7 linked regions of the Macaca mulatta genome follow. The main gene of each other region encodes a partner of the protein of the gene in region 3 in a complex. Links are inferred from orthologs where the notes say so. Each region holds a gene or a part of one and is shown on either strand. Other genes may lie near its edges. The genes, in order: SNRPF, CRIPT, SNIP1, DHX16, SF3B5, RBM48 and RNF113A.

Region 1 (4,161 bases), on a different chromosome or scaffold from region 3:
GGCAAGAACTCGGACAGCTACCCTCAACTGGTAACAGTTACCTGCTGGGCCTGCTTCCTCATCTCTAAAACGGGGCTGTCACCCCGAATCAGACGGTAAGGTAAGATTTCCACAATTGTTGAAAGAGCCTGACACATAGTAGGAACTCAAAGTCTGTACAAAGACTTAAAGTTCATGAAACAATATACAAACTAAGGAAGAAATCCACTTAAGTTTAGGGTGAATAAATCTAATAACTGTTTGGTAAAAACTACACTGACAATGACTGTCTTGTCAGTGTTCAACACTTATGTGAAACACTGAGCTTTTACAAGGCCAAGCCCCGTTTTAGGTTAAATTCTCGCAACCACGCTGAGGATGGTTCCGTTTTTAAAGCCGCGTTCCTGCCGTGGAAACAGTGGCCCTGAGGGTTAAGACACTGCCCAACACCGGCTGCGCCTGATAGACGCAGGTTCCGAATGCAGGCCCTCTCCAAAGTCTTGCCCACTGCTCCACAGTGCCTCAACAACCAACATTTCATCCTCAACCTCAAATCCATCTCTTCAGGGCCGCAAAAAAGCGTTACTTCCCAAAGGGCGTGTTCTCCAAGAACTGCATTTAGCATTTCAGATCAGAGTGAGCCGAACTCACTAGGATTACGACAAAAACCAGTGAGATTCAGATAACACCGTTACGTCGAAAGTTTTAATCCGTGACAGCGGAAATATTGCTTACGCCCTTAGGTAATTTCAAATGCACGTAAGAAGGCCGTGCCAGTCTCTGCTGGCGATGCAAAAGAAAGATGGGGCCGGCGGGGTCGTGGGGGGTGGGGGGACATGACACCGTATCCCAGACACAACCTGACCTCGTTTAAAATAAATTCTGTATCCGACTCCCTTCGGTGCGTTTCACCGCCCCTAGTCTTGTCTGGCTACCCCCGAATTCCTTTAAAAGGGGTTGAAATGGGTGTTGCAGAAGAGAGAATACTCAGGTAGAAACGGCCTGCGGCAGAGGCGCCCCCAAATCATGGAACCTGTTGGAAGAGTGAGGAAGGAACTCTGGGATCCTGAACATTCTCACGGGTGTAAAAAGACAAAGTAAAATCCCCATTAACCAAGTTGGGGAGAAGTCACATCCGTCACACAGCCTCTCCCAGACCGCACATTTACAACACCGGCCTGCCTCCAGTCCTTGGCTGCCTCACCTTGCTCCTCAGAGCGGGTTTCCCAAGACCCGCGCGCAGCCGGCCAGGCGCAAACTCAAGCCGCTGCTGGTTGCCAGGAGATACTGGTCCAACCATCTCCTCCAATCAGCGCGCATCTCTTTTCGTCCAATCACAGAGGCAGGAAGGGCCGTGGTGGGAGGTGAAAGGTCACACTCCTGTTTGGCGGCCATTTTTCTTGAAATTCAGCGGCTCGGGACCTGGGGTACCTGCTGTAGTCACGAGGGACAAGCGGCAGCCTGGTCGGCAGTGAGTAGCCTGCAATATTCGGCCGTGGTTACGATGGTAAGGAGAACGAGAACGGCGGGAGAAGCGGGGAGAAAGAGAAGGAGGGAGACCACCTCGCGGGGCCTAGTGGTTGCTTCGCGCGTTTCCCATTCATCCGCGTGAGGCGCCGCGCACCCGGTCGCCAGCTTCTTTCACTCTGCTTTTAGGATTTCTGAGGCGCGTGCTCCTCCCGATGCCTTTCTTTTTCTAGGAGTGCCCGTGCCTTCTCCTCTTTGTTTGAATCCGGGCTTGGGATATTCTTATTTGTGGCTACAGGGTCGGGGTAAAACTCAAAGAGAATTTGCACTTCCCACTTAACCACACTCCAAAATTCACTTTCATTGCATGAAAGTAATGATACGGCCATGCTCTAGTTTAACTCGGTTGGGGAAGACAGACAGTCAAAAAATAACAAATATGCAATTGCAAGTAATAAGTGCTAAGAAGAATGCAGACAGGAGGCTGTGAGGGTGCGCGTTAGACATTTAGAGGCTTAGTCAGAGATGGCCTCCCTAGGAGGTGGAATTTAACCTGAAGCCTAAGTGTCATGAAATAGACCCTTTAAAGAGCAGGAGGAGGAGTGTACCGAGCACAGAGAATAGGCGCATAAGACCTGCGGCCGGAAAGAAAGCTTGGTCAGTTGGAGAAATTGACAAAAAGGTACAGCCACTTGCAGGAAGAGTGGTTACGAGATGGTGTCGGAGGAGCAGGCGTTGGACAGGACCTCTTAGGCTGTATTGGGAGGTTTTGATTGTACTCCAAATCAATTGAAAATGATTGAGTTGGAAGCCATTGAATCATTTTAAGCAGAAATATGACAATTTGATGTGCACTTTAAAAAATCATGTTGCTGTGGTGGATAATAAATTGGAGAATGAAAACTGGAGACCCATTAGGTTATTGGAGTAATCGCCGCATCAAGTCACTCCGAATATGTTTATGTTAGAGGGGGTTAGTAGCCAAGTTTCTTAGTTCTGTTCTTTCTTTGACTGGTGAGTGAGCAGAAAAAGGCAAAAACCGAATTCACTGGAGATGTTAATGGTTTGCTGAGCAAACTTTAAGTGATTGCTATAAGAGGCAGTGCTAGTGACAAAGTCATTTAGGACCTAGCCCTAGCTTCCACAGTTAAAGACTGTCAAGCGTCATCTGCCCTCTGCTTCCTTCTGTAGTCTTATATTTGGGACTTTGACTGACAATGCTGAATTGTATGTCCCCAAAATCACCTTGTTGCTTCACTCTTCCCTCCTTTTACATAAGTAGCTAGCCTTGCCTGGAACAGGATTTTTTCCCGCTCTGGAAATAAATTCTCATTCTTTAAAACTGAGGTTAACTTATTTCAGGCAACCTTTCCTTTTTTCCCTGGATTGCTTCGGTACCCTTGTGCCTAGTATATCTCCTCTTATTATGTTGCAATATGCAGTATAATTATTTGTATGTGAGGAGCCCCCCTCCCCATCTCCAACTTCTTGACAGGGACTCTGTTATTTATTTATGACAAGGTCTTGCTCTGTTCCCTAGTAGCCGGGACTACAGGTGTGCACCACCACATCTGACTATTTTTGGTAGAGAAGGTGGTCTCACTATGTTGCCTGGGCTGGTCTTGAAATTCTGGCCTCAAGTGATCCCCCTGCCTTGGCCTTCCAGAATGCTGGAATTACAGATATGAGCCACCCTTTCTGGCCCGCATTTTTTTTTTTTTTAAGTGCCTTTATCTTTGTTTCTTTAGAGCTCAGAACAGTAAGTGATGTATGTAGTCGGTGTTATCTTAAGTGAATAGTGAGTATTTTGTTTTGATGGGTTAAAGGTGATACTGGCTAACTGGATATTTAAATTTCCCTGGTACTCTCCAATAAATGAAAGTGAAAATTGTGTACTAAAATAATGAGTCAAGAGTTTTCTTCATTTGCATACCACAAAATATTGGTATTTAGTAGAAGAGAGTTGGTGGTGGGAGGAAAAATAATTAATTGGATCCTTTTTTGTTCTTTGTGCAGAGTTTACCCCTCAATCCCAAACCTTTCCTCAATGGACTAACAGGAAAGCCAGTGATGGTGAAACTTAAGTGGGGAATGGAGTACAAGGGCTATCTGGTATCTGTAGATGGCTACATGAACATGCAGGTAAGCTAAAGAGCTGTAAAGGTCATAACATTGCATTTAGTTTGCTTCACCTTATTGCTCAAAGGTTTAGTCTGACTAATAAGAATACATACAATTAAATTGACAAATGTACGGCAAAATTAAAAAATAAAGTCAAAGCCAGGGAGGATACTATGATATACTAGGTACAAGACATGGACTTAAACCAGAATTCAGCCACAGATTTTATTCCTAGTAGTTAAAGTAAGAAGAGCTCAGACATTTAATTCATAATAATACTGTAAGGGAAACACACTACTTTGCTGGAGAAAACAAAACATTTCTCATCATTTAGCCCTGAAAGAAAGTTTTCAAGTGAAATTCATGAGTCTTTTAATGAATGATGCTAAAGGCACAACACCAAAGTTATTGAGGAAATTCATTCCTTCAGGGGAAAGACACATCTGCCGAAGAAATTGAACTGACTGTATGTCTGTCAAATGAGTTTCTGTAAATGATTCAGCCATGTGTTTTGGTGGGGTTTTTTTTGTAATTAATTTTCTTTTTATTGTGGTAAAATATACATTACAATTTTGCCACTCTAACCATTTTTAA
Region 2 (3,235 bases), on a different chromosome or scaffold from region 3:
GCTTGCACCTGGGAGGCAGAGGTTGCGGTGAGCCAAGATCACGCCATTGCCCTGTAGCCTGGGCGATAGAGTGAGATTCCATCTCCAAAAAAAAAAAAAAAAAAAAAAAAAGTGATATTCTCTATGGTTTGGAAAAATCTTTGTAAATGGGCTGTTATGCTATACCCAAGAGGAGACACTAGGTCTAGGACAGTGTTTCGTATCTGGTATATGAGGATCATTACAAAAACTCATTTTGTAGTTAGGGAAGCACAGTTAAAGCAGAGTATTATTGCCATTTTAGGGGGAAGTATTTCTTTTTTTCACTCCAGTTACTGTAAGATGGCATTTTTATATAGTAGAAGCCCTTTTATCTAAAAGGATTGAGTCAGTTAATTAAAAATGTCAGCTAATGTAAGCAGTCATTAAAAGATACACATACCTTATTTTAACTTAAAGCACATAACTGTAGATGTATTAATCATATGGTATTGAAACAAAGCCTTTTGAGCATAAATCAACTGATAAGTGCTCTACATGATTGTCGTCACAAAAATCACAATCAGAATATGTTCAGTATCTTTAAAGTGGAGCAAAAATTGATGCTTGAGGTATGGAGTCCTTTCCTAGTGATTTTCCCCCAGTTGTCAACAGTTGTCTTACCCATACCTAATTCAATAGCAATTCCGATTATTCCTGGTCGTCCTAAAGTAGTCACTTAGGTTTTATGGAATCAGTCACTCTTTTTGCACCGACATTTCATCAGTTTCCATAATATTTTTGTCACACAAATAGAATGACAGATACAATTGATACGAACACGTCAAGAATAAATTCTGTACAACTGACTATAAGTATATATCTCACATGGACGGAGCAGAGCAGAGATGTACAGGCATATCAGACAGTAGCCATCTGGAATAGGCTAAACCCATCAATTGTAGAGGTTGATGGAGGGATGAAGAGCATGGATTAATCCTGTGTGTTGCGTAAGTGGGGTTATTTAAGAGTGTGTTTCTAGTGTAATATACAATTTTCTCTCATTAAAAAAAATTTCTAGATTTGATCCATATGGAAAGAATAAGTTCTCCACTTGCAGAATTTGTAAAAGTTCTGTGCACCAACCAGGTTCTCATTACTGCCAGGGCTGTGCCTACAAAAAAGGTAAGTTTCTTTTAATACCTTTTTTCTATTCATAAAACCTACTTCATTTGCTGCTAATTTGGTTAACAGAAACGATGTAGCCTGTCATAAATTCTGTTAACCAAACACTCTTTATCCTAAGGCAAAATGGGACGTAAAACCTGTTTATAATTAAAAGTATATATATATATATATATTTTTTTTTTTCTCTTCTGATGCTGTTAAATTATATTTTAAGCTTCAGGATTGACTTAAACCAAACAGTTGGTATTATGATTTGATTGATCACGTATCTTCTTTTGTTTCAGGCATCTGTGCGATGTGTGGAAAAAAGGTTTTGGATACCAAAAACTACAAGCAAACATCTGTCTAGATGTATTGATGGAATTTCTGACTTTCTAAATGATTTTACTTTCTGCCTTGAATTTTCAAGGCATAGATGTCAACTTACAGAATAACGTGTTTTAAGACAATTACGTTTAAACCAGAGAATTTGATTGTTATTCATTTTGCTCTCATGCTCTAAACAGCAACAGTGTAACTAGTCTTTTGCCGTAAATGGTTTTTTCCTTATGAGCATTTTATTGAACTAAGTGGCAAATTCCATGAAAAATTTCTCAGTTCTGTATGCACTTTAAACATTATTCATGTAATTCTCCCCCACACACACTTTATTTATAGATACTGCAAAAGTGAGAAGGAGGTAATAGATATTTTGCTCTGAATTTGGCATCCAGAGTTAACAGTTCTCCCCTAACTCCCTTACTCGTGTCATAGTTATTAGGATCAGCAGCCTCTTAACTAATTGCAGTTTCATAGGATGTATAAATGTTTCAAGCCATTATTGCTGAATGGTTCTTTAGTTATTAACCTAGACCCAAATCAAAGACCAGTTTTTATTTGTTCTTGCCGCCAAAGTGCCAGTTCCTTTAATATGTGACCAGGAACACAAGGAATATCCATATATCCAAATAAACACACTGAATTTTAGAAAAACTTATTACTTTGAATTCAAATTGTCATGAAAACCAGAACAGTGTTTGTCCATGTTGCATGTAATGAACATAAATCCCTGCTCTTTGAGAAAAGCTCTTTGAAGCAAAAACCAAACTTTTTGTTTTTTTACCTCCTGTCTCCCTCCCTAAAAGAAATAAATAAAGCAAACATCTTGACTCTCCCTTTTTAAAATTTGTTTGTTTGTTTGTTTGTTTGATACAGGATCTCACTCTGTTGACCAGGCTGGAGTGCAGAGGTATCATCAAGCTCTCTGCAGCCTCCATCTGCTGGGCTCAAGCAATCCTTCCACCTTACCCTCCTAAGTAGCTGGGGGCTACAGGTGTGTGCCAGTGAGCTCAGCTAGTTTTTATTTTTAGTAGAGACGAGGACTCGCTATGTTGCCCAAGCTGTTCTCAAACTCCTGATCTCAAGCAATCCTCTGGCCTCAGCCTTCCAAAGTGCTGGGTTACAGGTGTGAGTCACAGCACTTGGCCTCTCTCTCTCTCTCTTTTTTTTTTTTTTATACTACAGGTTTCAAATGAGTACTTTTCTTATGTTGCCTTCAGAGGTTCAGGACTTCTGCTTTTAAAATCTGCAGGCTACCATGGGAGACCAAAAAAGCATTCCCCATTTCCAACTGCAGTATGTATAAATACGTATCACTATAAAATGTGTAGAATAGATAGTGTGATAAGATTTATGAATGGCATTTTTATTGGTCATAAAATTTTGATGAAAAGCATTTAAAGTTTTAACTTTATAAGGCTTTTCAAAATGTGTTTTTTTGAGATACCTTGTTATTCATATCCACAAAGATTATAAGGATAATGCAAAATATAATAATTCATCTGAGAGCAGGAAGTATCCTCTCATGCTTAATCAGTTTGATTAATTGATTATAATTTTAATTTTAATTAAAATTATAACACAGGGAACTCATAACAGGACCTGGTCAGAGAGTGTCCCAGAGCCATTAAAGATTGGATTTGTTGACTTGGAGAAAAGTACGTTTCTCAGGGATCGACTGGAATCTGGACTTGCCTAACTCACATTTCATTTATTTTTTAAATAATTTCCGTTTTTATTTTAGATGTAGGGAGTACATGTGCAGGTTAGT
Region 3 (4,137 bases):
GAAATGTTGTTCTAAATGCCAAACTCCAAATTACAAAAGACCTTTTGAATATACCTCATTCAAAAAGAACAAGATTTGGGCTGTCTTTAGATTGTGCACTGTGTTAAAATTACAGAATCTGTTTGAATTTCAGGAGCGTGAGGATCATCCCCGGAGAGGACGGGAGGATCGGCAGCACAGGGAACCATCAGAACAGGAACACAGGAGAGCTAGGAAAAGTGACCGGTACAGACACCGGGGCCATTCCCACCAAAGGAGAACGTCTAACGAGAGACCTGGGAGTGGGCAGGGTCAGGGACGGGAGCGAGACACTCAGAACCTGCAGGCTCAGGAAGAAGAGCGGGAGTTTTATAATGCCAGGCGACGGGAGCATCGCCAGAGGAATGACATTGGTGGTGGCGGTAGTGAGTCTCAGGAGTTGGTTCCTCGGCCTGGTGGCAACAACAAAGAAAAAGAGGTGCCTGCTAAAGAAAAACCAAGCTATGAACTTTCTGGGGCACTTCTTGAGGACACCAACACTTTCCGGGGTGTAGTCATTAAATATAGTGAGCCCCCAGAAGCACGTATTCCAAAAAAACGGTGGCGTCTCTACCCATTTAAAAATGATGAGGTGCTTCCAGTCATGTACATACATCGACAGAGTGCGTATCTACTGGGTCGACACCGCCGCATTGCAGACATTCCTATCGATCACCCATCTTGTTCAAAGCAGCATGCGGTCTTTCAATATCGGTAAGTAACATGGAGGAAGAAACTCTAATGTGAGCAGAAACAATTGCTCAGTTAGTTAGGATTACTAAGATTTTTGTTCATACATATACAGAAGAATCCCATACCCCTCATATCTAAAGAGTATTGTTAATCTAACTTCCCTTTAAATAATTGTTTACATATTTATAAGAACATTATACTTTTAATCTATTTTTTGTTTTTTTGTGACAAGGTCTCACTCGGTCACCCAGTCTAGAGTGCAGTGGAGCAAAGACAGCTCACTCCAGCAACCTCTTGGGCTCAAATGATTGTCTCCCACCTTGGCCTCCTGAGTAACTGGGACCATAGGCATGTGCCTCTGTGCTCTACTAATTTTGAAACTGGTTCTTGATAGCTTGCGTGGGACATCTGTGATGATTCTCACAACAATCCTGTGAGAAGGATAGGACCGGTTTTTGGTTTTTTGTTTTTGTGAGACGGAGTCTCCTTCTGTGCCCAGGCTGGAGTGCAGTGGCGTGATCTCAGCTCACTGCAACCTCTGCCTCCTGCGTTCAAGCGATTCGCCTGCCTCAGGCTACCGAGCAGCTAGGAATACAGGCGCACGCTGCCACACCCAGGGAATTTTTGTATTTTTAGTAGAGACAGGGTTTCATTGTATTGGTCAGTCTGGTGTCGAACTCCTGACCTCGTGATCCACCCGCCTCGGCCTTCCAAATTGCTGAGATTATAGGTGTGAGCCACTGCGCCTGGCCCATTTTTTGTTGTTGTTGTTGGTTGTTGTTTTGTTTTGTTTTAACATGGTCTCCTGACTTTGAATGGACAAGTATTTATATCCCCATTTGACAGATGAGAAAACTGAAGCCCAGCAAAACCAAGTGACTTGCCTAACAAATGATCACTATAGTACAGTGGTCCCCAGCCTTTTTGGCACCAAGGACCGGTTTCATGGAAGACAGTTTTTCCATGGAACCAGGGACATGGTTTCAGGATTCAAGTGCATTACATTTATTGTGCACTTTATTTTCTTTTTTTTTTTTTTTTTTTTTTTTTGAGACGGAGTCTCGCTCTGTCGCCCAGGCTGGAGTGCAGTGGCGCGATCTCGGCTCACTGCAAGCTCCGCCTCCCGGGTTCACGCCATTCTCCTGCCTCAGCCTCCCGAGTAGCTGGGACTACAGGCGCCCACAACCGCGCCCGGCTAATTTTTTGTATTTTTAGTAGAGACGGGGTTTCACCGTGGTCTCGATCTCCTGACCTTGTGATCCGCCCGCCTCGGCCTCCCAAAGTGCTGGGATTACAGGCGTGAGCCACCGCGCCCGGCCTATTTTCTAATATTATCTCATTGTAATATATAATGTAATAATTATACAACTCACCATAATCTAGAATCAGTGGAAGCCCTGAGCTTGTTTTCCTGCAACTCGATGGTCTCATCTGGGGGTGATGGGAGACAGCGACAGATCAGGCATTAGATTCTCCTAAGGAGCACGCAACCTAGATCCCACTTGTGCACAGTTCACAATAGGGTTCACGCTCCTATGAGACTAATGGCACCGCTGATCTGACAGGAGGCGGAGCTCAGGCAATAATAATACGAGTGATGGGGAGCAGCTGAAAATACAGATGAAGTTTGGCTTGCTTGCCTGTCTGCCCACTGCTCACCTCTTGCTGTGCGGCCTGGTTCCTAACAGGCCACGGACTAGTACCAGTCCATGGTCCAGGAGCTGGGGACTCCTGCCATAGTAGAACTCTGGCTCAAATATAGCTCCCTTGACTCTGAAGTCCAGGTCCACTGTTTTTTCCCATTTGGACAGGAACTGAAATATATTGAAATATAGGTTAAAGAAACATTGATTATAAACAACAGAAAAAAATGTATTTTCTTAACCACAGCAAGAGACTTTGGATTCTGCATTTCCACCTTTTGATCTTCCATGGATTCTCCCCACCCTCCAGTAACCCATTCTCACCTTTTCTACTAAATATATTTAAACTTCCAATTTCCCTTCCCAGGGCCATGCTTTCCCCTTGATTTCTTTGATTCCCTAGAATTTTAACTTGAATTATGCTCAAGTCAGGTTATTTACATCATCTAGGCTGTCTTAGCAAAGAGCTTCAGAGAGGATGGATGATCTGAGGCAGAAGTTTGCTCATAGGTTTCTCCTTTTTCTCTGCTAGGCTTGTGGAATATACCCGTGCTGATGGCACGGTTGGCCGAAGAGTGAAGCCCTACATCATTGACCTTGGCTCAGGCAATGGAACCTTCTTAAACAACAAACGTATTGAGCCACAGAGATACTATGAACTAAAAGAAAAGGATGTACTCAAATTTGGATTCAGTAGCAGAGAATATGTCTTGCTCCATGAGTCGTCGGACACTTCGGAAATAGACAGGAAAGATGATGAGGATGAGGAGGAGGAGGAGGAAGTATCTGACAGCTAACAAACTAAGAACCCAAACTATTGAGACACGTTTTCCTTGTTGGAAGGCTTTGATTGACTCAGAGAGCACTATGGTGGTGGGTCCAACACTATCATGCTCTCTGTAATGCCTCTTACTGCCTTAAGTCTTTCCCCTGTTGCTGACCAGATTGTGTTACCATTTGAATACACTGACTAATGTTTGTTAAACTTTTTCTGTGGCACCTTGGCCACATGCCTGCAGGCATTTGTTTTCGGAACAGTCTCACCAATTACAACACACCGTGTTTTAGTAGAAGCGTTGTGGTTTTAGTTGGTGCTTTCAGAACTGCTGCCTAGGAAACTATAAACCCTTGGTTAAGGGTAAATCATGGCTTGTTCTCTTTGTACAGTTAACTTTATTTATATAGGTATTAAGCTTTGTGGACCAGGTGTTTTTCTTTTGGGGTGAACCCCTGAGCAGAGAATCTTACTAGGCTTTGGTTATCACCAAAACAACCTCCAGTATATACCAAAGCTTTGACCTGGTTGAGCTCTTGAGCTTAGAAGTTGATTTTGCACTTAGTCTTTTGGGGGTGGGAATGTACTGCAGTCAGTAAACGTTATTGACTGTTTAACTTAAACAGATGCTTTATGGCACCTGCTCAAGCCCGTGACTGTACAGAAGGATCCTGGTTGCTACCAGTGGGTGCTGATTCAGCATCACAAGTGACTGAAATTGGCCGTGGATCTGTTCTTTCTGAAAGAATTCCTGATTTCTCCATGGAGCATGTACACAACAGTTTGGATCATATTAACTGTACTTCAGTTTTGCATTTTTATTCAAATGTTATCTCCTTTTTTTTTCTTTGAGAAATAAACTGTCACTGATGTGGCAGGTTCTTTATTCTAATAACGTGTATATGTCTAAAGCAGGTTGTGTTGTTTACATTGTTTCTACACATTTCATCCTTTAAAAATTGTTCAGAGAGGCTGTATTTACCATCCCAAGGTTGGAAAGCAGGGGAA
Region 4 (4,137 bases), on a different chromosome or scaffold from region 3:
TTTCCAGATCACATATTTGGCTCTCTCTTGGTTCACACCATATTTCTCCTCCCTTCAGTCCCAGGGACAAAGGACTGACTGCTCCTCAGCTGTGTGCAGCAGTGCCCAGGGCTCACCTTGCATGGGGCAGGCACACAGCTTTTTCACTACTAGTTGTGGGAAGCACAGGGGTGAAGAGTGTGGGTTTCTCCAACCGACCTTTCGTGCCCCAGGTGGCGTGGGCTGGAAGATGCGGGCCTGCATGTCAGAGGGCAGGTTGGCATAAATGGGCAGCACCAGGAGCTCCCGGATTTTGGAGCCCAGGCGGCGGCAGCGATCCTGGAGCATCTCACAGGCAGCCTCAATCTCCTCCTGGATAGAGGGCGGGGAGAGCAGCAGGGATCCCAGAGTCACAGAAGGCCAACATGCCGGCCCCGTCTTCCCCTGAGATACACCCTCCCCTCTCCCAACCATGTCAGGCACCTGTCCTGTCAGGAACACCAGGATATCCCCAGGGGGCTGGGTCACGTGGATCTGCAACACAGATACAACACAAGCTTCCAAGTAGTCAGCCTCTGGAGCCTGGAGAGCAGAAAGAGATGGGGTCACAGGAGGGCCACCTGCTTAGGCAAACCTTTCCTCTCCTCCCAGTTCAACATATACTTTATCCTAGTTCCCCTTTGGACCTTCCACTCCATCTTTCCCTCCTTGGGATAACTTTCTCCAAAGGCCTCAGCTTTTCTGCCACAGACTTAAGCCCATCCTCCCTGAGGTAGCACCTTGGTGTAGAAGATGTCCACAGGAAACCTGCGTCCGGGGATTCGAAACACAGGGGCGTCATCAAAGAAGGTGGAGAAACGGGCAGTGTCCAGTGTGGCTGAAGCCACCAGGACCTTGAGCTCAGGTCGGAAGCGAGCAACATCCTTGATCAATCCAAAGAGAATGTCTGTGTGTAGGGTCCGTTCGTGAGCCTCATCCACCATCACCACACTGGGGAGGGAATAGGGCAGCAATGAGGGAGGAGCGCTGGGCAATGCAGTATCAGACACCAGGGTTCCCTGGACGAGAGGGGAGTGATGGACACAAAGAGCTCAAGAATGACTGTTGACGGAGGGGGCTCTAAGGAGAACTCAGCCATCCCAGTTATGTAAGACCAACAGAAAGTCAGAGACGGCCAGGGACCCATGATCTGCAACCTATCCCAGCCTCAGCAGACAATAGAAGCCAAGATGTAGAGGCTGCACTGAGGCCAGGACAAGTCAGACATACTCTCTAGTTCAGTCAAGAGTCTGCTTAGACTCAGTAGCTGCTCTTACTAGAAAAAGTTGAACGAGGCTGGGCGCGGTGGCTCAAGCCTGTAATCCCAGCACTTTGGGAGGCTGAGACGGGTGGATCACGAGGTCAGGAGATCGAGACCATCCTGGCTAATACGGTGAAACCCCGTCTCTACTAAAAATACAAAAAACTAGCTGGGCGAGGTGGCGGGCACCTGTAGTCCCAGCTACTCGGGAGGCTGAGGCAGGAGAATGGCGTAAACCCGGGAAGCGGAGCTTGCAGTGAGCTGAGATCCGGCCACTGCACTCCAGCCTGGGCGACAGAGCGAGACTCCGTCTCAAAAAAAAAAAAAAAAAAAAGAAAAAGAAAAAAAAGAAAAAGAAAAAAAAAAAAAAAGAAAAAGTTGAAGGATATGCTTTAGGCTGGGCACGGTGGCTCACACCTGTAATCCCAGCACTTTGGGAGGCCAAGGCAGGCAGATCACGAGGTCAGGAGTTTGAGATCAGCCTGGCCAATATGGCGAAACCCTGTCTCTTCTAAAAATACAAAAAAAAATTAGCCAGGTGTGGTGGCGCACACCTATAGTCCCAGCTACTCAGGAGGCTGAGGCAGGAGAATCGCTTGAACCCGGGAGGCAGAGGTTGCAGTGAGCCAAGATTGAGCCACTGCACTCCAGCCTGGGTGACAGAGCGACACTCTATGTAAAAAAGAGGCCAGGTGCGGTGGTTCACGCCTGTAATCCCAGCACTTCGGGAGGCCGAGAAGGGTGGATCACGAGGTCAGGATATTGAGACCATCCTGGCCAACACGGTGAAACCCCGTCTCTACTTAAAAAAAAAAAAATTAGCCGGGCGTGGTGGCGGGCGCCTGTAGTTCCAGCTGCTTGGGAGGCTGAGGCAGAAGAATGGCATGAACCTGGGAGGTGGAGCTTGCAGTGAGCCGAGATTATACCACTGCACTCCAGTCTGGGTGACACAGCGAGACCTGCCAAGAAGGATTCTTCTTTTGCAGAGAGGAGCAAGTTAAGCCTTTCTACCCCAACTCTCAGAGGACTCTGCATGCTCCCTGGTTTCCTCCTAACTCAGTTATGTGCATGACACCTTCTTTCTCTTTGCTTTATTTTTTGGCTTTTCTGGGTGGCAGCCAAGTCCCAGGAACTCATCCTCATCTTCCCCTACCCACCTCTCTGACCTCAACTCTTTGTCCCTAACCCTAACTGTGATGGTGAAGCCCCCAGTCATTCCACAAAGCAGGCTGGCTCGATGGGCAAAAATATCTGCATCAGGCCCTCTTGCACTGGCTGGCTCCCCATGGGTTCTCAGAGATTTTTTGCAAGGGATATGAAGGATAAAATCCTATCTGTCCAATCACTCCACTGTGATCTTCCAGGGCCAGAAATTCACAGCCTCTGAAGAGTCAAAAGGGCACATATTGTTCAGCTGGCCTGACCCCAACCCCAGCACATTCATGAATCCCTTTTCCCCCTCAACACATGTTCAACCAACCTCTGCTTGGCCATTTCCAGCACTAAGAGCTCATTATTCACAGACCAAGCTACCCAAGACTTGTGTGGAGGGCCAAGATCCAGAGTCCAACCACTGTGACAGGCCCTGCAATCTCCAACACTCTGAGGGTTACTCAGCCGTCGGTATTGAGTTGGAATCTGTCTCCCTGTAACCTCCCCATGGCTCCTAGCTATATCCTGTAGGGTTACATAAACCAAGTCTCATCCTTCTTTCCATGTCACAGCCTTCACATATTTAGAGGGAACCAGGATGCCTCTCCTGCTTCTCCCTCTGAGCTGAGCATTCCAGGTGTTTTCAAATGGTCTCCACATGGCATTTCAAGCCTCCGCAGCAATGCTATGCTATCCTGGTTGTTTCCTAACCCTGGAGATGAATGGGGAAAGAAGAAGAGGCTTTCTCTACAATCTCTTCTATCCTCCAGCCCCATCTCAGTGGTACCTGGAGGTCAGTTCAAGGACCGTTTGAACCATAACGATATAAGAACTGGTGGATTAATCAGAAGACAATGGCTGAATTGGCTGGGTGGCAAGAAATGAGAGAAAAGCCAGAGATTAGAGATCCAGGAGAGAACTGAGTGGGAGGGAGGCGGCAGCACAGGGGGAAGAGAATGTGGGCAGCTCTCTCATGGGAGATGAGGGCCCTGTATGTACCTGTAACTCGCAAGGTCAGGCTCAGAGAGGAACTCCCGGAGAAGCATCCCATCTGTCATGTAGCGGAGGACAGTTCGCTCTGACGTGCAGTCCTCAAAGCGGATGCTGTAGCCAACCTGGTCAAGGGAAATCATTAGCAACCAAGTGTTGGATGGTGTGCCCTGAAAGGAACCTGGGGAAAGGTGAAGTGGGGCAGCACCAAGACTTCTGCCGTAGGGACCTGAGGGCAGTGTAGACTGAGTCACAGACCCCAGTCTCTACCCCCCAGTTCCCTAGAAATCTCACCTCATTCCCAAGCTTCACACCCATCTCCCGGGCCACTCGGGCGGCTACACTCATGGCGGCCACTCTCCGGGGTTGGGTGCAGGCAATCTTCATACCCTTCTTTGTATAACCCTGAATGACAAGGAAGAAAGAAGAGGTTTACCCTTTGCTAAATATGCCCCCTGAGACCAGGTACAATTCAGAGAAAGAAGTTGTAAAAGCCAGACAGGAGAAAAGGAGGAAAAGACAGATGCTGAATACCAGAAAAGAAGGGCAAATAGATAGGATGACAGACCTAGGGCCCTCAAAGGGGGTCCTCACCTAGCTCTGGGTAATTAAGTTCATGGCTCTGCTAGACTTGAGCTGGAAAAGAACAGATTAGCTGAGGCAGAGTCAGCTAAGGTAAAAAGCAGGAAGGCTGGGCACAGTGGCTCATGCCTATA
Region 5 (3,324 bases), on a different chromosome or scaffold from region 3:
GTTGGAAGTGCAGAAATCACCCGTCTTCTGTGTCACTCACACTGGGAGCTGTAGCCTGGAGCTGTTCCTATTCGGCCATCTTGGAACCTGACCCAACAAAGTTTAAACAGCAGAATAAAATAATTTTCAAGTTATCTCTCTCCTAGTAAAGTTTTCCTTCCCTTCCGTTGTAATAGAGTTATTTAACCATTTATCAAATTTTTGTTTTGGATTTTTTTTTTCAAGTAGCTTCTACCCATGTAAGGAAGTTATTAAACCAAACAGTAGGATATAAAGCGATAACAAGGAAGAGATGTATAACCTACAAAGAGGAAGGAGAGTTTACATCTGTCTGGAGCAGCCAGAGAAAACTCTAAGGAGATGCATTTGAGCTGCCTTTTTGGGAGATGTATTCACCAAGGGAACAGACATTCCACGTAGAGGGAACAGCTTGTACAAGAAAATGGGGACGGGCACAACAGGTAACACGGAGAAGTACAGTTGTCCCTCAGTATCCGTGAGTGATTTGTTCCAGGACTCCCATGGATACCAAAACTAGAGGATGCTCAAGTCCCTGATATAAAATGGCTTGTATTTGCACATATGCACATTCTCCTGTATAGTTTGTCTCCAGATTATTTAACAATACCTAATACAATGTAAATGCTATGTAAATAGTTGTTATACTGTATTGTTTAGGGAATAATAACCTTAAAAAGTCTACACTTCAGTACAGACTGACTTTTTCCCCAAATATTTTCAATCGGGTCGGTTGAATCCACAAAACCCACTGAATGGAAGGGCCAAGTAGGGTGCAGTGAGGCCTTGGAGGAAGGATATCAAAATAAGTGGCTAGAGGGGAAGGAGGAGCTTGAGGTGGAAGCCGGAATGTGTGGGAATTGGTGCTGTACTTGCTCACCAAGCACCCTGGTTAGAGCTGAAATAACTCTTTTATGCCACAGACTCCTAAAAGACATAGCTGGGACCAGAACTTGTGCCTGCCGACTTCTGGGTAATCCATCCCTGGTTGTGAAGGGATGGCTGTGCTACCATGATAGCTTTGGAAAACACGGAGAGTTTATTTTCGGGGCTGCTTGTAGTCCAGTCCTACTTGGGTTTCCCATTTCCCATCAGCCCCAAGCCACCCACGGATGCTCCCCACCTCCCAGACATCACCCTCCACTAGGTCCCCAGATCACTTTTAAAACGCGACCAGGGGCCTGGCGCAGTGGCTCACGCCTGTAATCCCAGAATTTTGGAAGACCGAGGAGGGAGGATCACGAAATCAGGAGTTCGAGATCAGCCAGGCAAAGACAGTGAAACCCCATCTCTACTAAAAATACAAAAAAAAAAAAAAAAAAAAAAATTGGCCTGGCGTGGTGGTGTGCGCCTGTAATCCCAGCTACTGGAGAGGCTGAGGCAGGAGAATCGCGTGAACCCAGGAGGCGTTAAGTTGCAGTGAATCGAGATCGCGCCATTACACTGCAGTCCCGGCAACAGTGCGAGTCTCTGTCTCAAACAACAAAACGAGACCAGGAGTTCCAGAAGACTACGAGCACGAACTCCCAAGACCACAAGTCCCAGCATGCAAGGCTCCCTGTTGGAAAAGGGCTTCCCATAGCCACCAAGTGGACCATCATGCAACGCTCTCTGACGGGGCGGGGCTCTCTACAGGGGCGACACACTTGTGGCGTCGCCTCGGCAACTCCAATTCCGTGACAGAATGTGCTTCCGCTTCCGCCTTTGAGCCCTATGAGCGAGACTTACGCTACTTAGTCGTCGTGACGCCATTCTTCTGCGACGGCGCGGGCCTGGAGCTTCCGCACGGTGGCCTCACTCCCGCGTGAAACGCCAGAGCGGCGGTTTGTTGTCTGCGTCCTCTGTCCTGGGAACTAAGGGGAAAGCGGCGAGATGACGGACCGCTACACCATCCACAGCCAGCTGGAGCACCTGCAGTCCAAGTACATCGGCACGGGCCACGCCGACACCACCAAGTGGGAGTGGCTGGTGAACCAACACCGCGACTCGTACTGCTCCTACATGGGCCACTTCGACCTTCTCAACTACTTCGCCATTGCAGAGAATGAGAGCAAAGCGCGAGTCCGCTTCAATTTGATGGAGAAGATGCTTCAGCCTTGTGGACCGCCAGCCGACAAGCCCGAGGAGAACTGAGACTCTGCCTTACCACCACTGTGCGGGGCACCTCTCCCAGTGTTCCTCAGGTTGGCCAATCCCTTCGACTATTTCTGCCTCCAAAGGACCGGCTCTCCATGGCTCCTGCGTCTGGTACTTCCGCGTACAGAAGTGCTTGCCCGGGGAATCCCGCCTGACCTGCCTTCATGTGAACCCTTTGGAATAGCACTGGGAGACCAGCAGAACTCCTGAGAACTGTGCTGGTGAAGAGGGCCTAGAGCCGGCAAGCGTTTGAGAAGAGGGCGTGGCGCTGGAATGAGATGGGATTTGGCGTCTCATTTTTGGCTAATTGATTGTCATTGGCTTTTTCCATAAAGTTTAGAAATCATTAAGTCTCTTGGTGTGAACTTCCTGTGTTAGGGTGGAGGGCTCCTGAAAGACCCGAGCGGGAAATGGGTCGGGGGAGGGAGTGCATGCCAGTGTCCATGATCAGGTACTTAAATCCACCCTGTCTACCATTATAATTAATTCCCCGACTGCCACTTCTCCCAAGAGCGTTATTTTCAGGCCCACAATGCCTTCAGTATTGAAGTTTGTAGTTATTGTATCCCATTTTCTTTTTCTCCCGTTTTAAAAGTCTTTGCAGTCTTTGCTGTCATTGTCCTCCTTAGCCTCTTTAAAATGCATCCTTTCTTTTTCTTGGGAATTTGTGGCCATGTCTCCAGAAATGACAAGCTGGCAAGTGAGTTCATCCTTTCTATATTCAACAAATATTTGTTGAGCTCTATGTGACAGGCATTTTCCCATGTTCTTGAGGCTTACATTATGCTGGTGGTGGAGAAAGGAGGTCAAACACTGTAGACGTAATAAGTAAATGTTAGAAGATGCTGCGGGGAGGGGAGAACAATGTACGTGGTGTGGGTGGGAGTAGTTGGTAGGGCCATAATCTTAAATATGATACACAAGTTACTGAGATGGTGACATTTGAGCAAAGACTTTAGGGAAATGAGGGAAATAGCCATGCGGAAAACTGGAGAAATTGCTTTCCATGAAGAGGGAACTGCCAGTGCAATGGTACTAACACTGGGAGTATGTATGGTTTATTGGAGGACCTGCAAAGAGGCAAGCATGGCTGGAGGGGGTGAGCCAGGGGAAAAGTAGAGGGACAGGTAATGGAGGGGGAAACGAGTAGAGCCTTGTAGGACAATATAT
Region 6 (4,570 bases), on a different chromosome or scaffold from region 3:
CTAGGTATGGAGAAGTAACTCAAGTGGAAAGAAGGGATGCTTGAAATTATTGCAAACTCTTTATTCATTACATAGATTAGCCACTGGTGGGTACCATGCATCCAGGATTTATGAAGATTTCAAATACGCCGTCCTTTTGCCCCCATAACCACACTCAAACTCGTGAGACCATGTGCCTCTATTTTTAATTACGAAAATAAGGACGCTGTATCTCCACCGGTGGTTAGAACTGCGAAACATCCCAACCACAACGTCCAGAAGGGCGACTGATCGCAGAGCTTCAAGTGATCTTAACTACGTTATGTGTTCCTGACACACTACAGCTGTGTTCCGAGGGTCTGGGACGCAGGGCAGAACCATTACTGTATTAAGCTTTCCCGCTCATGGGACGCGGTGCTCAGTCCCCGGGGACCGACAGGGGCTCCACCAACAACTCTGCGCCTCCCTCTCGCGGCCCGGACGGCAGCAGCGCAGGTAACTGGAAATGACTGGCAAGAAAAGCACCTTTTAAAATAACAAAAACAAACCACTTATCAGGAACTTTTCCAGCCTGGAATGAGGAATATTTATAAAAACAGTGGTAGAATATTAGGACATTTCTAGGCCCAGTTTCACCAAGTGAAAAGACCTGGGATAAGACGAGCCCAGGGCTGCACTGGACTTGCGGGATGCAGAGACTAACCAGAAGGGCCCTGCCGTCGAGGGACCCTAATCTCTGTACGCTTCGGGGGCGCCCGGGTGGCAGCCGGTGTCCCGCCGCGTCCCTGAGAGGCTTCGGCCTTGTCCGACCCCAGGCTGAAGATCAGGTGGCCCGGGGCCAGCACGTTACCTGCAGCAGGTGCAGCTGGGCCACGAGACCCCGCGGCAGGTGGAGGAAGCAGTCGCGAGCGTTGGTGAAGGCCACAGTCACTGCCGCCCCGCCTCCCCCAGCACCCGCCAGGCGATCGCTGCCCCACATCGTCCCGAAGCGTCGCTCTGGGTTTGCCCACCCTAGCGCCGCAAAGGACACGGGACCTGGCAGGCCGAGGACGTCGGAACCGGAGGAGATCGATCGGCCCCGCCCCCTGAGGCCCCGCCCCCTCTCCCCGCTGCGCGTCTCGCCGTAAGCCTGTAGTGGGGTGGGACAAGAAAGCTTCTGTCACCCACCGCGCCTCTCCGCCAAGCCGCTCGGGGGCGGCACCTCGTTCATCAAATCCTCGCACGCAGGAAACGATGGCCGACGCTGTCGATTCTTCAGCCAATCCTGACACTCCTTAACTCATCCCGCTCTCTTATTGGATAAAAGGGAGGTCAGCAGGGCGGATGTTGTCCTCCCTGCGAGGATCAAAGTAGGCAAGATGGCGTCCAGCGGTGGGGAGTTAGGGAGTTTATTTGACCACCACGTCCAGAGGGCGGTGTGCGACACGCGGGCCAAATATCGGGAGGGACGACGGCCTCGTGCTGTCAAGGTAAAGTGATTTTTGGTTTCATTCGCTCTCCTCGGTAGCTTTTTGTGAGCGCTAGCGCCATATGGCTAACCTACGGAAATAAAGGCACGACAAGGCTTCCGTCAGATCTGTCGCTCATTAGAGCTGGCGTGAAGAACCCTGGGCCAGGTACCAAAGATTCTCACGACCCTTTTGGTCAACTATTAGAACATCAACTCCACGAGAATAGGGCTTGGTTTTAGTCATTGGATCTTCAGTGTTTACAGTACTACTTGGCACAGGTAAGCGCTCAGTGAATATTCGTTGAGTGATTGTTCCCAGTGACTTCTGCCGACTCAATTTCTGGAAAAAAATGTCGACTGAAGGTAGTCTGTTATATGCCTTAGGTAGCCTCTCACATGGACTGTTACTCTTTATGCAGAGGGAATGGCAGAAATTTTATTTTGTGTTTTTTGCTGACTGGGTTGAACAGATTATTTCTTGTTTTCAAAGTTCTGTTTAAAAAAAAAAATAGAGGCAGATTCGTCCTAGGCTTATTTGCGAAATACGTTTAATAACTATGCATTTCTTTCAGGTATATACAATCAATTTGGAATCTCAGTACTTATTAATACAAGGAGTTCCTGCTGTGGGAGTCATGAAGGAATTAGTTGAGCGATTCGCTTTATATGGTGCAATTGAACAGTACAATGCGCTAGATGAATACCCAGCAGAAGACTTTACTGAAGTTTATCTTATTAAATTTATGAACTTACAAAGTGCAAGGTAAGGTGCAAGTTAAGCAATGACTCGTTTCATTTCCTCCATTCATATTTCTGTCATTTTGGCCCCAAGTTTCCCTCATTCATATCTGAATTACCCCAAAATGTAATCTAGCATATCTTCCTACAGCCTTTTTACAGGTTAACTTTACTGAAACACTGTATCCATCACATCCCATGCTTAACAATTTAATGTCCTGTAGCGTGGTAGAGTAAAAGTTGGGTTTGGCCAGGCACGGTGGCTTACGCCTGCAATCACAGCACTCTGGGAGGCCGAGGCAGGCGGATCACGAGGTGAGGAGTTTGAGACCAGCCTGGCCAACATGGTGAAACCCCGTCTCTACTAAAAATACAAAATTAGCCGGGTCTAGTGGCGCATACCTGTAATCCCAGCTACTCAGGAGGCTGAGGCAGGAGAATTGCTTGAACCCAGGAGGCAGAGGTTGCAGTGAGCCGAGATTGCGCCATTGCACTCCAGCCAGGGCAACAAGAGGGGATCTCCGCCTCAAAGAAAAAAAAAATGGGTTTGAGGGCTGGGCGCCAATAACTCACGCCTCACGCCTGTAATCAGAGTACTTTGGGAGACCGAGGCAGGCAGATCACTTGAGGTCAGGGGTTCAAGACCAGCCTGGCCAACATGATGGAAACCCCGGCTCTACTAAAAATACAAAAATTAGCTGGGTGTGGTGGTGCAGACCCGTAGTCCCAGCTACTCAGGTGGCTGAGGCATGGGAATCGCTTGAACCCGGGAGGTGGAGATTGCAGTGAGCAGAAATCACACCACTGCACTCCAGCCTGGATGACAGAGCGAGGCTCTGTCTCAAAAAAAAAAAAAAAAAACAGAAAAAATTTGGGTTTGGCGCCAGGCATGTGGCTCACACCTGTAATCCCAGCAGTTTGGGAGGTGGAGGTAGGCGGATCACCTGAGGTCAGGAGTTCAAGACCAGTCTGGCCAACATGGTGAAACCCTGACTCTACTAAATACAAAAATTAGCTGTGTTGGTGCAAGCCTTTAATCCCAGCTCCTGGGGAGGCTGAGGCACAAGGATCACTTGAACCCAGAAAGTAGAGGTTGCAGTGAGCCAAGATCATGCCATTGCACTCCAGCCTGGAAAGAGTGAGACTGTCCCAGAAAAAAAGAAAAGAAAAGAAAAAAAAGTTGAATTTGATCCCAGCACTATGGAAGGCCAAGGTGGGCAGACAGCTTGAGCCCAGGAGTTCGAGACCCGACTGGCCAACATGGCAAAACCTCACCTCTGCTAAAAATACAAAAATCAAGGTGGGCGTGGTAGTGCATTCCTGTAGTCCCAGCTACTTGGGAGGCTGAGGTGGGAGAATCAGTTGAGCCCAGGAGGTGGAGGTTGCAGTGAGTCATTTATGGACCACTGCACTCCATCTTGGGTGATGGAGTGAGACTATGTCTCAAAAGAAAAAAAAATGTTGGGTTTGGAGTAAGTTTTCCATTTCCACTGCTTACTAGCTTTGTGATCTTGGACAAGTTATTTAACCTGTTTAAGTTTTTCCTGTTCCGTAAAATCTATATGGTAAAGGGACCTATCTACTTCTTGAGGTTGTATGAGGATGAAATGAGATAATCCATATAAAGGGTTTAGCAGAGTGCCTCCTGGTCAGAATACAGTAAGCATTAGCTATTGTGGTTTCTACTGTTACTCCTTTCTGCAAATTGACTCAGTGTTTTCCGGCCTTCTATGTGACATAAACCCTCTGCTCCAAAAAGGCTGAAGTATGCAATGCCTTATCTATTTTTATGTTGATCTCTGTTCTCCTCACTAATCTGCTCTGAGACCCATCCTTCTCTGGCTGTTACAATTCATATTTTCTTTCATGTGCTATCAGTAGAAATCATAATCTACCACAAAAGCACTTGATTTTACTGGGTCATGTGTGGTTTTCTCAGGCTGCTGTTATATGTAATCTCACTTTCTTAACCAATCTGCCAGCTGTCATGGTTAGAGAAATATTTTCTCGAGCTTTTCTGTTTTCCAAAGTACCTAGTCTAGTAGGCTCTGAAGTAAGACATCTGGATTTGAATCCTTGCTCCTCAAACCAGAGTATGAGCATGGCTAAGTTATGTAATGTCCCAGTGCTTCTGTTTCATTACAGGGTTGTTGTTAGGTGTTAATTCAAGTGAAGCACTTACAACATTGCCTGGCATATGGTAAAATCTGAGCAAGTATTTGTCATTATCCCTGGATACAGAAGTAGTTAAATTTATTGTAGTACCTGGCCAATCATAGATGTTTAGTAAGTATTTATTGACTGAATAACATTCTTCTCATTTTCTCATTGTTATATGTTTAATAGTTCCTCAGTTATTGAACGTTTTATGATTATAGTATTTTTCATCTGATTTTTAAGGCA
Region 7 (3,757 bases), on a different chromosome or scaffold from region 3:
GCAAGGGAGCCGGGTACGGTGGCTCACGCCTGTGATCCCAGCACTTTGGGAGGCCTAGGTGGGCGGATGCCGAGGTGGGCGGATCACGAGTTCAGGCGATGGAGACCATCCTGGCTAATATGGTGAAACCCCGTCTCTACTAAAAATACAAAAAATTAGCTGGGCGTGGTGGCAAGCGCCTGTAGTCTCAGCTACGCGGGAGGCTGAGGCAGGGGAATCGCTTGAACCCGGGAGGCGGAGGTTGCAGTGAGCTGAGATAGCGCCATTGCACTCCAGCCTGGACAACAGAGCGAGACTCCGTCTCAAAAATAAATAAATAAATAAATAAATAAATAAATAACCCAGACAGCAAGGAACATTTCCCATATGTGAAGCCTGTGGTACTAGCTACCAATTCCCCAAACGCAACCCCTCTCCCCAACACCTTGGCTCCGGTATATTTTGTAGTACAGGCTCCCAAGAGAAAGAATGCATGAAAGTACTTTGTAAACCATTAAGTGATACAGAAATGTGATATGATAAACAGGCTCAGAGTTCTTACTTTCGTCATAGCTTTGGCTACTTCAAGCAAATTATAGCTCTTTTCTCAAACTACTCCCACCCCTATAATTGATGCCAAAATGTTCTGAAAAGAAACACAGGCAAAATGGTTATCCTAGGGCTAAAAATCCTGATTATACCTACCTTGAGGTTTTTAATCCAGGACCCTACTTCACCACCCGCCTTCTCTGTCACTGTCTCTACAAAGGAAGGACACGAATTAAGACTTCCAAAAGAACAAAATATTTATTTTTTAAATTTAAGAATTATCAGACAGCTAAGTAACGGGAATTGGATCCTCATCGGGGTCTTCTGGCAAGTCGGAAGCACCACCACCCTCTCCTGTAGCTCGATGCTTCTCTAGTTTAGCAATCAATTCTTTCGCTGGATTGAAGACGCCATTGGTCTGCTGGTCACAGACATAGCAGCGCGGGGTGGTGCGGAAATGCTGCAGTGCACAGCTCTCGCAGAAATAATGCCTGCACTTGGTGACAACTGGGTTTTGGAAGCTCTGGCGACAGATGAAACACTTGAATGGTATTTCCTCATCATCGCTTCCCACTTCATAGTTTTCATCCTCATAGACACCATAGCGACCCTCATCAAGCTCACGTTCGATCTGCCACCCATGCTTGTAATCTGAACGGTCATGGAGGAATTTGCAGCTGTCTCCGAAGCCGCAGAAGCCAGTCTCTTTGTAGTCCTTACAGATGTCGGGCTGGTAATCCCAGCGCACCGTGGCACGTAGATGCTCGGGCGCTCGGATGGGGCCCTTCCTCACCATCCCGGAAGAGGCATTGCCCATAGACGTATCCTTGGGCTTCATGTATTTCTGATAATTGTTGATTCCCCGATAGATCTTGTCATCCTCCTTGCCCCTCAGCTCCTCCTGGATCTTCTGGCTGCGCTCAAAGATGGCTTGTGCATCGCGCTCTTTCTCTGTGTCCAGCTCATAGACAGCTGTCGCCCCCATATCCTCTGGTCCCACGGGTTTCGCCGAGCGGGTGGATTTATAAACCACGCCGAGACTCTCGGGCTCATTTTCCTCCTCCTCCTCGCTGCTCAAGTCGCCGTAAGCTGCCTTCTGTTTACCACTGTCACGAGTCTTCTGTATCATTGGATTGTGAGTCGCCCGCTTCTTTTCCGGTCGAACCACAGTGCAGCCTTCGTCGCTACTGCTGCCGCTGTCTCCGGGCTCTGGGTCGCAGGCCGGGCGCTTTCTGCGTCCAGCAGCCCCTTTCCGCCCAGGCTTTTTGAAAAGGAAGGTGCACACCTGATCCGCCGTCTTCCCTGGAGAAAACTGCTCTGCCATTTTAGAGTCCCGAGCTCCGAAACGGCCGTCGCTGCCTGGGTTGCACTTGGCCTCTGCGCGTTACTCCACGTCGCGCGCTCCGCCGGGAGTCGAAGCAAAAGACACTGACGGAAGAGAACTGCGAGAGCGCGAGCGCCAGCCTCTCTTGAGCCCTGGCAGATCCCGTCGCTTCCTCCGGAGCCGTACGTGGCACCGCCCCGCTCGCGGGCGGCCGCGGGGCTTACTGGGAAGGGAGCCGAAGCCCGGTCACCTTTCAAGGACCCAGAAGTAGGGTTTTGGCCTAGATAACGGGGCAGAGATGTGGTTCGAGATTCTCCCCGGACTCGCCGCCATGGGCGTGTGCTTGTTTATTCCAGGACTGGCTACTGCGTACATCCAGAGGTTCACTAACGGGGGCAAGGTAAGGCGGCTTCCTGGGCCCGGGGGCTGACTCCACTGGCTGATTTCTGAAAAGGATGGTGGGCAGAGAGTCCGTCAGCCTGCGGACCCTCTCTCCGAGGCCGGCCCTCTATTTTCTTCCGGTTGCCTAGAAGCCGAGGCTTGCGAAACGAAGCGCGGTAGAAACCACATCCTGCTCTGGTGAAAAACAGCGTTTCTGGGTGTATCAAAGTGGGCCTTAGGGCAGAGTAGCGACGCGGGGGCCGGAAAGGTAGATTAGAAGAGGTGGCTCAAGCCTGAGAATCCCTCACTGCAACCTCCGCCTTCCGGGTTCAAGAGATTCTCCTGGCTGGGCGCGGTGGCTCACGCCTGTAATCCCAGCACTTTGGGAGACCGAGGCGGGCGGATCACCTGAGGTCGGGAGTTCGATACCAGCCTGACCAACATGGGGAAACCCCATCTCTACTAAAAATACAAAATTAGTGGAGCGTGGTGGCGCATGCCTGTGATCCCAGCTACTCGGGAGGCTGAGGCAGGAGAATCGCTTGAACCCAGGAGGCGGAGGTTGCAGTGAGCCGAGATCGCGACACTGCACTCCAGCCTGGGCAACAAGGGCGAAACTCCGTCTCAAAAAAAAAAAAAAAAAAAAAAAAAGATTTTCCTGCCTCACCCTCCTGAGTAGCCGGGACCACGCCCGGCTATTTATTTATTTATTTTGGTAGAGACGGGGTTTCATCATGTTGGCGAGGCTGGTCCCGAACTTCTGACCTCAGGTGATCCACCCGCCTTGACCTCCCAAAGTGCTGGGATTACAGGCGTGAGCCGCCGCTCCCGGCCACCCTTGACTTTTTTATTCCCCACTTTCTCTTGCAAGCGTTTAGGAATTTACTGCAAGGTCTTGTGTTTTACATCAGGATTCATTTTCCCCTCTTAGCCCTTCACATCATCTCTAGAGTACAGAGTATAAATTTATTTACTTTTTGAATTTGTGATTGTCCACGTGTGATCTACAGCTGTTGTTTCTTAGTGTCCCAAAAGGCAACAACTAGATATTTCTTTTTTTTTTCTTTTTTTTAAAAAGGAAAAGAAATTCATGTTGGTTAAAATAGTGTAAGAAGTCACGGTCACCAACTTAATCCTAAAGTGTAGTGGTCTGATTTTATTTAGGAGATTCTGTTCTTGTACTACTAATTTGCATTTTTATTTGAATGATGATTCCATTTCTCTAGAATGTCCCTTCTAAAAATTGTAATATCCATCAACTGGGTCACTCACTTTTATAAACTGCAACAATAATTGTCTCTTATTTGAAGGAAAAAAGGATTGCTCATTTTGGGTATCACTGGAATCTGATGGAAAGAGATAGGCGCATCTCTGGAGTTAATCGTCACTATGTGTCAAAGGTAAGAAGCCACTCTGATGCCAGCCTTCTGCCAGGGTTGAGGTGGGTTCTGGTAATGCCTTGCCAAGGGTCATACAATGCTAATATATAACTAGCATTTTCTTGTCTACTAGTGAGGTTGGCAT

Evidence for each region.
Region 1: SNIP1 (region 3) and SNRPF share a complex: the UniProt entries of both Homo sapiens proteins name them as parts of the minor spliceosome. The link is inferred for Macaca mulatta from reciprocal best matches to the Homo sapiens genes SNIP1 and SNRPF.
Region 2: SNIP1 (region 3) and CRIPT share a complex: the UniProt entries of both Homo sapiens proteins name them as parts of the minor spliceosome. The link is inferred for Macaca mulatta from reciprocal best matches to the Homo sapiens genes SNIP1 and CRIPT.
Region 4: SNIP1 (region 3) and DHX16 share a complex: the UniProt entries of both Homo sapiens proteins name them as parts of the minor spliceosome. The link is inferred for Macaca mulatta from reciprocal best matches to the Homo sapiens genes SNIP1 and DHX16.
Region 5: SNIP1 (region 3) and SF3B5 share a complex: the UniProt entries of both Homo sapiens proteins name them as parts of the minor spliceosome. The link is inferred for Macaca mulatta from reciprocal best matches to the Homo sapiens genes SNIP1 and SF3B5.
Region 6: SNIP1 (region 3) and RBM48 share a complex: the UniProt entries of both Homo sapiens proteins name them as parts of the minor spliceosome. The link is inferred for Macaca mulatta from reciprocal best matches to the Homo sapiens genes SNIP1 and RBM48.
Region 7: SNIP1 (region 3) and RNF113A share a complex: the UniProt entries of both Homo sapiens proteins name them as parts of the minor spliceosome. The link is inferred for Macaca mulatta from reciprocal best matches to the Homo sapiens genes SNIP1 and RNF113A.

Annotation. Positions count from the first base shown.
Region 1 is NC_133416.1:103,187,198-103,191,358, forward strand, and holds the start of SNRPF (small nuclear ribonucleoprotein F), read left to right. Parts: upstream 1-1,361; 5' UTR 1,362-1,483; coding exon 1,484-1,486; intron 1,487-3,462; coding exon 3,463-3,588; intron 3,589-4,161. UniProt on the Homo sapiens protein: Plays a role in pre-mRNA splicing as a core component of the spliceosomal U1, U2, U4 and U5 small nuclear ribonucleoproteins (snRNPs), the building blocks of the spliceosome.
Region 2 is NC_133418.1:78,210,704-78,213,938, reverse strand, and holds the end of CRIPT (cysteine-rich PDZ-binding protein), read left to right. Parts: intron 1-1,039; coding exon 1,040-1,143; intron 1,144-1,430; coding exon 1,431-1,495; 3' UTR 1,496-2,310; downstream 2,311-3,235. UniProt on the Homo sapiens protein: As a component of the minor spliceosome, involved in the splicing of U12-type introns in pre-mRNAs. Involved in the cytoskeletal anchoring of DLG4 in excitatory synapses.
Region 3 is NC_133406.1:203,257,823-203,261,959, forward strand, and holds part of SNIP1 (smad nuclear-interacting protein 1), read left to right. Parts: intron 1-133; coding exon 134-732; intron 733-2,886; coding exon 2,887-3,151; 3' UTR 3,152-4,137. UniProt on the Homo sapiens protein: Required for pre-mRNA splicing as component of the spliceosome. As a component of the minor spliceosome, involved in the splicing of U12-type introns in pre-mRNAs. Down-regulates NF-kappa-B signaling by competing with RELA for CREBBP/EP300 binding.
Region 4 is NC_133409.1:152,384,229-152,388,365, reverse strand, and holds part of DHX16 (pre-mRNA-splicing factor ATP-dependent RNA helicase DHX16), read right to left. Parts: intron 3,827-4,137; coding exon 3,716-3,826; intron 3,547-3,715; coding exon 3,431-3,546; intron 970-3,430; coding exon 759-969; intron 562-758; coding exon 463-561; intron 352-462; coding exon 199-351; intron 1-198. UniProt on the Homo sapiens protein: Required for pre-mRNA splicing as a component of the spliceosome. Contributes to pre-mRNA splicing after spliceosome formation and prior to the first transesterification reaction.
Region 5 is NC_133409.1:49,347,902-49,351,225, reverse strand, and holds SF3B5 (splicing factor 3B subunit 5), read left to right. Parts: upstream 1-1,789; 5' UTR 1,790-1,890; coding exon 1,891-2,151; 3' UTR 2,152-2,482; downstream 2,483-3,324. UniProt on the Homo sapiens protein: Component of the 17S U2 SnRNP complex of the spliceosome, a large ribonucleoprotein complex that removes introns from transcribed pre-mRNAs.
Region 6 is NC_133408.1:126,862,381-126,866,950, reverse strand, and holds the start of RBM48 (RNA-binding protein 48), read left to right. Parts: upstream 1-1,307; 5' UTR 1,308-1,337; coding exon 1,338-1,448; intron 1,449-2,001; coding exon 2,002-2,192; intron 2,193-4,570. Other genes in the region: peroxisomal ATPase PEX1, read right to left, coding at 830-958. UniProt on the Homo sapiens protein: As a component of the minor spliceosome, involved in the splicing of U12-type introns in pre-mRNAs.
Region 7 is NC_133426.1:126,364,589-126,368,345, forward strand, and holds RNF113A (E3 ubiquitin-protein ligase RNF113A), read right to left. Parts: upstream 2,068-3,757; 5' UTR 1,853-2,067; coding exon 818-1,852; 3' UTR 711-817; downstream 1-710. UniProt on the Homo sapiens protein: Required for pre-mRNA splicing as component of the spliceosome. As a component of the minor spliceosome, involved in the splicing of U12-type introns in pre-mRNAs. E3 ubiquitin-protein ligase that catalyzes the transfer of ubiquitin onto target proteins.